Callithrix jacchus: one gene and its partners. The main gene of each other region encodes a partner of the protein of the gene in region 2 in a complex. Links are inferred from orthologs where the notes say so. Each region holds a gene or a part of one and is shown on either strand. Other genes may lie near its edges.

What was found.
Region 1: MMS19 (region 2) and CIAO2A share a complex: the UniProt entries of both Homo sapiens proteins name them as parts of the CIA complex. The link is inferred for Callithrix jacchus from reciprocal best matches to the Homo sapiens genes MMS19 and CIAO2A.
Region 3: MMS19 (region 2) and CIAO1 share a complex: the UniProt entries of both Homo sapiens proteins name them as parts of the MMXD complex. The link is inferred for Callithrix jacchus from reciprocal best matches to the Homo sapiens genes MMS19 and CIAO1.

The regions. Positions count from the first base shown.
Region 1 is NC_133509.1:10,883,032-10,886,690, reverse strand, and holds part of CIAO2A (cytosolic iron-sulfur assembly component 2A), read left to right. Parts: intron 1-383; coding exon 384-429; intron 430-3,452; coding exon 3,453-3,550; 3' UTR 3,551-3,659. UniProt on the Homo sapiens protein: Component of the cytosolic iron-sulfur protein assembly (CIA) complex, a multiprotein complex that mediates the incorporation of iron-sulfur cluster into extramitochondrial Fe/S proteins.
Region 2 is NC_133513.1:90,279,844-90,282,161, forward strand, and holds the end of MMS19 (MMS19 nucleotide excision repair protein homolog), read right to left. Parts: coding exon 2,270-2,318; intron 1,969-2,269; coding exon 1,886-1,968; intron 1,760-1,885; coding exon 1,595-1,759; intron 1,516-1,594; coding exon 1,456-1,515; intron 1,151-1,455; coding exon 1,050-1,150; intron 970-1,049; coding exon 942-969; 3' UTR 588-941; downstream 1-587. UniProt on the Homo sapiens protein: Key component of the cytosolic iron-sulfur protein assembly (CIA) complex, a multiprotein complex that mediates the incorporation of iron-sulfur cluster into apoproteins specifically involved in DNA metabolism and genomic integrity.
Region 3 is NC_133515.1:6,115,684-6,118,726, reverse strand, and holds the end of CIAO1 (putative cytosolic iron-sulfur protein assembly protein CIAO1), read right to left. Parts: intron 2,922-3,043; coding exon 2,834-2,921; intron 1,540-2,833; coding exon 1,299-1,539; 3' UTR 589-1,298; downstream 1-588. UniProt on the Homo sapiens protein: Key component of the cytosolic iron-sulfur protein assembly (CIA) complex, a multiprotein complex that mediates the incorporation of iron-sulfur cluster into extramitochondrial Fe/S proteins.

The DNA of each region.
Region 1 (3,659 bases), on a different chromosome or scaffold from region 2:
GCACAGTGGCTCATGCCTATAATCCCAGCACTTTGGAAGGCTAAGGTATGTGGATTATGAGGTTAGGAGATCAAGACCCTCCGGCCAGCATGGTGATACCTCATCTCTACTAAAATACAAAAAAAAATTAGCCAGGTGTGGTTGTACATGCCTATAGTCCCACCTATTCAGTAGGCTGAAGCAGGGGAATTGCTTGAACCTGGGAGGCGGAGATTGCAGTGAGCCGAGATCCTGCCATTGTGCTCCAGCTTGGTGAACACAGCAAGACTCCTGGTTTTGGACCCTCATTCCCTAGATGTTTGATTCACTGTATATTCCACTTCACTCTCTCATCTTAGAATGCTCTAACGTTTTTTCTTTGACTTTCTTTTTTCCCTTTCTAGTTGGAAATCTACATTTCTGAAGGAACGCACTCAACAGAAGAAGACAGTAAGTGAATGTTTAAACTAATGGAAAAACACTTCAGATAGTATTTTTTCTTGGATACTGGATTCTTCTACCAGCCAAGTATCTACTGGGTTACTTTCAAAAAAAGTACGCAATTAGTTATTAGCTCTTCTTTCCTAGGTAGGAAAACCTAGGCATTTCAGGGAAGTAATTTTTACAGTGGGACTCTAAGTGCATTAGAGCTCATGGATGTTGACTAGTTTAGGCCAGTGGCTACACATCTGTAAAGAATATCCAGCTCTAGGGACCTTGACTTATGAGCTCTAAGTAGGCTGCTTTTCTTTGGTGGCAGGATAAGAGAGCTGTGTACTTGAAATTGGGTCTAGCAAGTAGAGCTGTAGTGAGTCTTGTGGTAGATGCTGTCTCTCTGGGTTAGTATATTAGAATGGGGGTGGGGAAACTTTTTATATACAGAACCTCTGACCTACAGAGAGAAGTCACTGTAGTGACTTCTAATGGCCAAAGTGGGGTTTGGGAAAAGCAAAAGGCAGAATGTTCTGTATGATCCATGTGTTACCTTAAAAACAGAATTTTAATGTTTTTAATCTACAAATGATAGAGTGTAAGTAATGAGAAATACATTTAAAGGGTGTTTGTACTTGTTTCATCAGAGGAGTGGAAGAAAGAGATGATTGATAATGGAGTGAGAGAAACAGTCAGATAGATACCCAGAAGACTCAGAAAGCCATACCCAGGGCTGGAGAAAGACACACAAAATCTCCTACATAGAAGAGAGCTGTAGAGAGGGAAGCAGGGAACCCTGTTGCTTCCAGAGGAATAGCCCATCCAGGAAACTTTTTAGGTTACTGTCATGAAAACTATTAAAATCATGTCCTAGCTATAGTTTCAGGCATGTAGATTATTATACTCTTTGTGGGCTAAATTTCTTTTCTTTTTTTTGAGACCAAGTCTTGCTCTGTTGCCCAGGCTGGAGTGCACTGACATGATGTCACCTCATTGCAACTGCAACCTCCACCTTCTGGGTTCAAGCAATTCTCCTGCCTTAGCCTCCCAAGTAGCTGGGACTACAGGCATGCACCACCACATCCAGCTAATTTTTGTATTTTTAGTTGAGATGGGGTTTCACCCGTGTTGGCCAGGCTGGTCTCGAACTCCTGACCTCGTGATCCGCCCACCTCAGCCTCCCAAAGTGCTGGGATTACAGGCATGGACCACCACACAATGGGCTAAATTTCTTTAAACCCCATGTGCTGAGGGCTTCTACCTCTGATTAAAAAAATAAGAGTTTAGGTACCCTAAATCCACTCAGGCTATCCTTTTGAAATTCCTCAAATGATAGGTTTTTACAACAGCAATAGTATTAAGTCTTATGATTCTTGTTTTTCGTTTAGTAAATATTTACTAAGAGCCTTCTATGTGAGGGTACAGTTCAACTTTTGAGATGTATTCCTGCCTTTGTGGAGCCTACATTGTAGTAAGAAGAAACTGAATTGAAATTATTTACACAGGAATATGTGTATGTGTGTTTGTCTTCTATATGAGACATTTTAGCAGCATCCCAGAAAAGTCAATCCACATTAAGAATATGGGTGTCTCTCTTTTGAACTCTTCTGTTAAGAGTGCTGTTAGCTAATTGTAGAAAACATAATGGATCAATACCTTTATTATATGAAGATTCATTCAAACTAACTTTTAAAAAAGATCTGGTAGATTAATAGAAAGAAACATGAACAGGAAATTCATGCAAGAACTAATATATACACATTGAAAATGTTCTGTTTTCCTATTAGACAAGGAAATGCAAATTATAGCAATAATATTGAACCATTTACCACCTCCTATTTTATGTATGTTTATATGCATATTAGTTTTTATTAAATAATAGCAGCTATTGCCTGGGCATGGTGGTTCACACCTATAACCCTAGCACTTTGGGAGGCCAACGCAAGAGAATGCCTTGAGGCCAGGAGTTTGAGGCTGGGATTTCAAGACTAGCCTGGACAACATAGTGAGACCCTGTCTCTACAAAAAAATTTGAAAATTAGCCAGGTGTGATGGCTCATGCCTGTGGGAGGCTGAGGCAGGAGGATTTCTTGAGCCCAGGAGTTGGAGGTTACAGGGAGCTATGATTGTACCACTGTCTCAAAGAAGAATAATAGTAATAGCAGGTATTGCTGCCAAACTGATAGCTCATGTATTGATGTTGACAATGTAAATTGGTGAGTAATTTTGGGAAGTAAATCAATGATATAAATCAAACCATAAAAATATTCATATTCTTGGGCAGGCCATGGTGGCTTACGTCTGTAGTCCCAGCACTTCGGGAGGCCAAGGCAGGTGAATCAAGAGGTCAGGAGTTTGAGACCCGCCTGGTCAATATGGTGAAACCTCGTCTCTACTAAAAAATACAAAAATTAGCTGGGTGTGGTGGTGTGTGCCTGTGGTTCCAGCTACTCAGGAGGCTGAAGCAGGAGAATCACTTGAACCTGGGAGGTGGAGGTTATAGTGAGCTGAGATCGTGCCACTGCACTCCAGCCTAGGCAACAGAGTGAGACTCCATCTCAAAAAAAAAAAAAAAAAAAAAAATCCCATTTTTGAGAATATTTCCAAAAAGAAGGCTATATGTTTAAAGGTGTTCATCGTAGCATAGTCTTCATAATTAGTTTAGAACACTTAAGACTTTTACCATGTTAAATAACCCTGTAGATTAAAATATAGGCTTATGGGGAAAAAAACCAGCAATTTTCAAAATTGTATTTACTCTGAATGTAACTGTATAAAGATATGTATATGGACAAAGACTAGAAAGAAAAAAATAGATGTGGTAAGTAGTAGAATTATAGTGTCTACTATAATTTTTCTCTTAAATCTGCCTTCTAGGTGAGAAATTATATTATGAGTATAATTATGAGTATAATTAGCCAAAAATGACTTCAAGTTCTCAAGCAGTTCAGTTTTTTGTTTCAGCAGGCTAATAAAAAATACTGTCTGGCACTGTATGTTGACACAGTTCTTCTGCTAACTTTTGTCTGTGTATTTTTCAGTCAATAAGCAGATAAATGACAAAGAACGAGTGGCAGCTGCAATGGAAAACCCCAATTTACGGGAAATTGTGGAACAGTGTGTCCTTGAACCTGACTGATGGCTGCTTTAAGAGCCACTGGCCTGTAACTGTTAGATATATTTGTTTAAACTCTTTGTATAATGTCAAAGACTCTTGTTTAATACATAGGTGATATGGTACCTCAGAG
Region 2 (2,318 bases):
GATTTTTAAAGGTATGTAGCTCCTCACTCTGCCTCACAATAGGGTGGGGAAGGGGAAAATCAGTGTCAAGACCTAGTGAGTAGGTATTCTGGTCATGCCTCTTACACTTTGGCATGATCTCAACTCACTGCAACCTCCGCCTCCCAGGTTGAAGCGATTCTTGTGCCTCAGCCTCCCAAGTAAAGGCGTGTGCCACCACACCTGGTTAATTTTTGCATTTTTAGTAGACATGGGGTTTAACCAAGTTGCCCAGTATTGAACTCCTGACCTCCAGTGATCCACCCCCCTTGGCCTCCCAAAATGCTGGGATTACAGGCGTAAGCCACCATGCCCAGCCGAATTTTTTAAATTATTTGTGGAGATGGGTTCTTGCTATATTGCCCAGGACCAGTCTCAAACTCCCTGCCTCAAGCAATCCTCCTGCTTCAGTCTCCTAAAGTGTTGGGGTTACAGGCATGAGCTACTTTGTTGGTTACCCTGAAAAATTTTTGGCCAGTCCCTGTCATCATTGTTCTTCCAGCTTAGTTTAGTAATGCCTCTGGTTCTACGAGGCATATGTTGGGTGGGGGAAATGTCTGACAGTCCCATTACCAAAAGACATCTTTATTCTTCAGCAGGTGCACACACAGCCACCACCCCTGGTCCTCAGGGCCACAGTCATATGCACTCACCCCTCAGCAGCATATTACCCCTTCTCTGACATACAAATGCAAGAGACCCAAGACCCTAGATCTTTCTTCAAACACAAGTGTCTCACAGTTAATGCACAAATCCACTAGAAATCTGGACCTTATGCTCCATGCAACAGAAGCCTAGCATTTGTGCTGTGTCTGTAGGAAAGGCAGGCAGAGGCCAGCAGTTTCCCTGCTTTGGGGATGATGGCTCCATAGTTAGTAATTCCAGGTTAGATTGTCAGAACAGTCTAGGCCAGGACTGACAGCTCAGCTGCCAGGGCTCCCCAACAGAAACCTGTAGGCAAAAAGAAAGTTGGCAGCATTAGTGGTAAGGCTCATCTCGGTCCCATTTCTCCCCATGGCCTAGAAACTCACCACTCCCCTCTGGCTGACACTGCTTCCTTGCGCACCAGTCTCTTCTTGTCATCCAAGGGTTTGGCTAAGGCTCGGATCACCTGTGGTTTGTATGGCAGCAGCTGTGGAGTCAGAGGATATAATCAACCTTGCTCATCCAAGGCAACTGAAAGTGCCCCTTTTTTGATTCTGTACAACTAATATTCTGAGGAAACTGAAACATCTTTAGTGATTCCAAGGGATGGCCATTCTGTTACCTTCTGGGCCCAAGGAAAAGAATCCTTGCTTATCTGTACCTTGTAATTCAGATCTCAATTACACAGCAGGGTGTAATTGAAACAGCCAAGCCCACTCGACTAAGGCAAAAAGGTATTTATCTGTCTCTTGAGACGGTCCCAGGCCAGAGAGGGGCACCTGAGGTACTTACCACAGGGGTGGGCAAGCGAGTGAGAGCATGCATGCACTGCAGTGCGGCGATCCGGACGGCCTGGAACACAACCACAAGGAGGTGAGAGCAGACCCAGGGAGAGCTGCTGGTTCCTGAGAGTTGCTGGGGCTCAACATACCATGGAAGGGCTAGAGGTGAGGTTCAGAAACTTGGTGACGAGAGTGTCCACGTGAAGACTCATGACTTGGGGTGCTTCCAGTAGAAGAGGCTGAAGGCAGCTGAGGGTAGAGAGCTGTACCACACAGTCAGGGCAGGACAGGGCCTCCAGCAGCAAGGAAAGAAGCTAAGGGGCAATGGGCAAGGTGTGGGATGGCCACATCATGCAGATCCTGGTTCTTGTACCCTCCCTTTCTAGCCCCATCTGGGAAAGAATTGTCCTTCGCTTAGAGGTTCTACCTGCAGGACTTACTGTGGGCAGCTCTGGCAAGAGCACAGGCTTGGGCAGCCTGTTAAGTACATGAGAAAGACCCTTCAAGTAGTTTGGCTTCACACCTGTAAAAAAATGGGAAAGCTTAGGAGAGAAATTGGGCTTAGATACATAGCTTGAGAATTCAATTCCGATCTGTGATGAGGTTGAGACATCAGCCTACAAAGGGGTGAAAAGCCCTTCATGTTTAGAATAAACAAGATACACCCACAAAGGAAGAAGTGGGACAAGAATCTAGAAGTTCAGTCTCCTAGGCACAGACCACAATATAGCTCTAAAGAAGCAAGCAGGTCCTAAGTTATCGGGTAATGTGGACAAGCAAAGGAGAGGTGTGTATGTGTGGGGCCTTTCTTTCAGACTCCTCACCTTGGGGAGCAGCATGGAAGCCCTGGACCAAAGCAGGCACATTATCTGT
Region 3 (3,043 bases), on a different chromosome or scaffold from region 2:
GGATTATGGGTATGGCAATACACCTGGCTAATTTTTAGTAAAGACAGGGTTTCTCCATGTTGGTCAGGCTGGTCTTGAACTCCCGACCTCAGGAGATCTGCCCACCTTGGCCTCCCAGAGTGCTGGGATTACAGGCATGAGCCACCGCGCCCAGCTAGGTCAACATTTAATACAGTTAGCCACTGTTATTTATCAAGGATGTGTCAAAACTACTAGAAGTTTGCTGCCACCACCTTGGTTCATGCTGCAGTGCCAACAGTTGACCTCACAGATCCTCCCTCAAAGGGTCTTGGGACTCCCAGGATCTAGAGACCACATACTCTTGAGAACCACTACTCTAGGTACCACACCACTGTCTTTCTAAAATCTAAGGTCACAGCTTAAACTTAAGTGAGGGCTGTAGTTTTGGAGACCATTGTCACATTAGAACCTATTTAGAAGTGACTGTCGAGACAACCTTAGCGCAACCCTGAACACCGACTGCCAAAGCCAGTGTTTCTCAACTGGTTTTTGTCACCATTCCCCTAAGGAGCCTTCTTCCTGCTCACTCACTGCCATGAAAATGAAATACCACAACCACACTGTATGTTTGTGGAGGACCAGAAACTACTTTTTATTTCTACTGAAGAAGCAATTTGCATCCCTGTTGAAAATATAGGGCCTCTGTCCAGTAATAACCCTCCCTTTTAGGGTTCCTGTCTTCTCCTTTTTTTCCTACTCTGTTGCCATCACAGCGTAACAGTGCAGGAGGTATATGAGGGTTTCTGAGGGAAAGCAGAGATGCCCCTCTCTCAAATCTACATTCAGAAAAAAATTTCCTTCAATATTGATTGGATGTCTTAAATGCAAAGATTTACCCAGAAACTGGGAAGGCAGGATCTATTTCAGACAAGGATTCACCATGGAATTCTTTTATGAATATCCTTATGAATAGGGCTCGGGACGCAGATGGATTATTTGTCTTACAACTTCAGAAAGGCCTGAGACATATACCCCCTCCTACTATACATAGTGATTATAAATAGTATATTTACCCCCAAAAAATTTAACACTGTGCCCTAATGCAAGAAAAATCGGTGGTATAACAATGTACTGATGTTCTGTAGCTCTTTACTGAGGGCCTCATGACAAAGGCGGGGAAGGAGAGCAGTTCTGTGGCTCCATACTTCCACCCAAGTCTAAATAGAAGTGAGCCATTTTAAATGAAGGTCAAGGATGCTCCTCCTGGTCTTCTCAGGGGCTGGCAAAGTCTCATGACATTTTCTGGGAGTCATTATGCTGTCCAAAGTTGAGGTAGCTCAGAGGCCTTCAGGCCGCTGATACTTCCAGAAGGCCACCTCCCCATCATCACTGCAGGAGGCCAGCAGCCCTGGCTCCTTGGGGTTCCAGGCCACACAGTTGACATCTTGGGAATGGGCCTGATGCAAGTGGGCTGTCAGGGAGAAGGTGGGCTGCTGTGGATCTGAGTTGGGATCCTCCTCAAACACACGAATTGCATCATCCCCACAAGCTGTAGCCAAGGCCCCTGTCAGCTGACACCTGGAAGGAAAGTGACATCAGTGGGTATACCTGACTGATTAGGTCATACCTACTATGACTTGTTCCATAGTTCCTGGCCTGTTCTCTTTCCTAACTTTAGGCCTCAGCTAAAAACCTCCTCTTGAAATGTTTCCCTAAGTAATAAGGAGTCACAAATATTACCCACTTACATCTTCAGATGCTGCCATCTAGTTTTTTCCCCCACTATGATTACCCTAAAAAACTACATGCAGTTATGAACTGCACTTTTCTCACTTGGCATAAGCAGTTTCCCATGTCATAAAGTTTTTTTTGTTTGTTTGTTTTTTTTGAGATGGAGTCTTGCCTTGTCACCCAGGCTAGAGTGCAGTGGCACGATCTCTGCTCACTGCAACCTCCACTTCCCAGGTTCAAGTGATTTTCCTGCCTCAGTCTCCCCAGTAGCTGGGACTACAGGTGTGTGCCACCATGCCCCGCTAATTTTTGTATTTTCAGTACAGACAGGGTTTCACCATGTTGGCCAGGCTAGTCTCGAACTCCCGACCTCAAGTGATCCACCCGCCTTAGACTCCCGAAGTGCTGGGATTAAAGGCATGAGCCACTTTGCTCAACCAAAATAAAGTATTTTTAACCCCTTTCTTTTCTGTTTTTAAAGACAGGGTTTCTCCATGTTGGTCAGGCTGGTCTCGAGCTCCCTACCTCAGGTGATCCACCCACCTCGGCCTCCCAAAATGCTGGGATTACAGGCATGAGCCACAATGCCCGGCCTCTTAACCCCTTTCTTTAAACAGTGATATAACAAGCTGAGTTCTACCATAATTTACTTAAATTCACTTTTGTTGAATAGGTGATTCCCAAATGCTAATATAAAGCAAGCTTAAGTGCTTATCAGTTTTTTTTTCACTGTTCTGGATTATTTCCTAGGGATCAATTCTCAGGGCCAGAACTAAGCTCTGACCTACTCTCCTATATGAATGATGCAGCTTTCCCAGCTTCCAAAGGACAGAGTCAGTGTTACCAAGCCATAAAAACTCCAGCCATGAATGCAGATTCAATAATAACTTCTGTACAGCACAAACTGTGTGAACCCTGAGCACTGGTGCTGTCCTCACAGCATGGAATTGTTTCTTGCTCCCGTGAATACCAGCCCAAGCAGCTGTAAGCCAGCATGGTAGAGTCAGGGCTGATAAGGAATGGGGATGGCTGCCCTCAATTCCCAAGCACCACCCAAGGTTGCAGAGGGCTGCATGGGTCATGCCTTCTCTGAAATCTCTGCTTTATGGGGATGGAATGGGGGTAGGGGATAGAGTCTTACCAAGCAATGTCATAAATCGTCCTTGAGTGGAAGCCCGACAAAGTACAGACACATTTCCAACTGGGGTCAGAGCCGCTGCATGCCACCCCTGCAAGACAGACTTCGCTTACACTTAAGACATTCCTATGTCCTAGGCGCCTCAGAGGAGAATCTAACTTACCTTCCCTCACCCTCATCTTCAACTGATTATGAGTCCACATCTCCATTCCT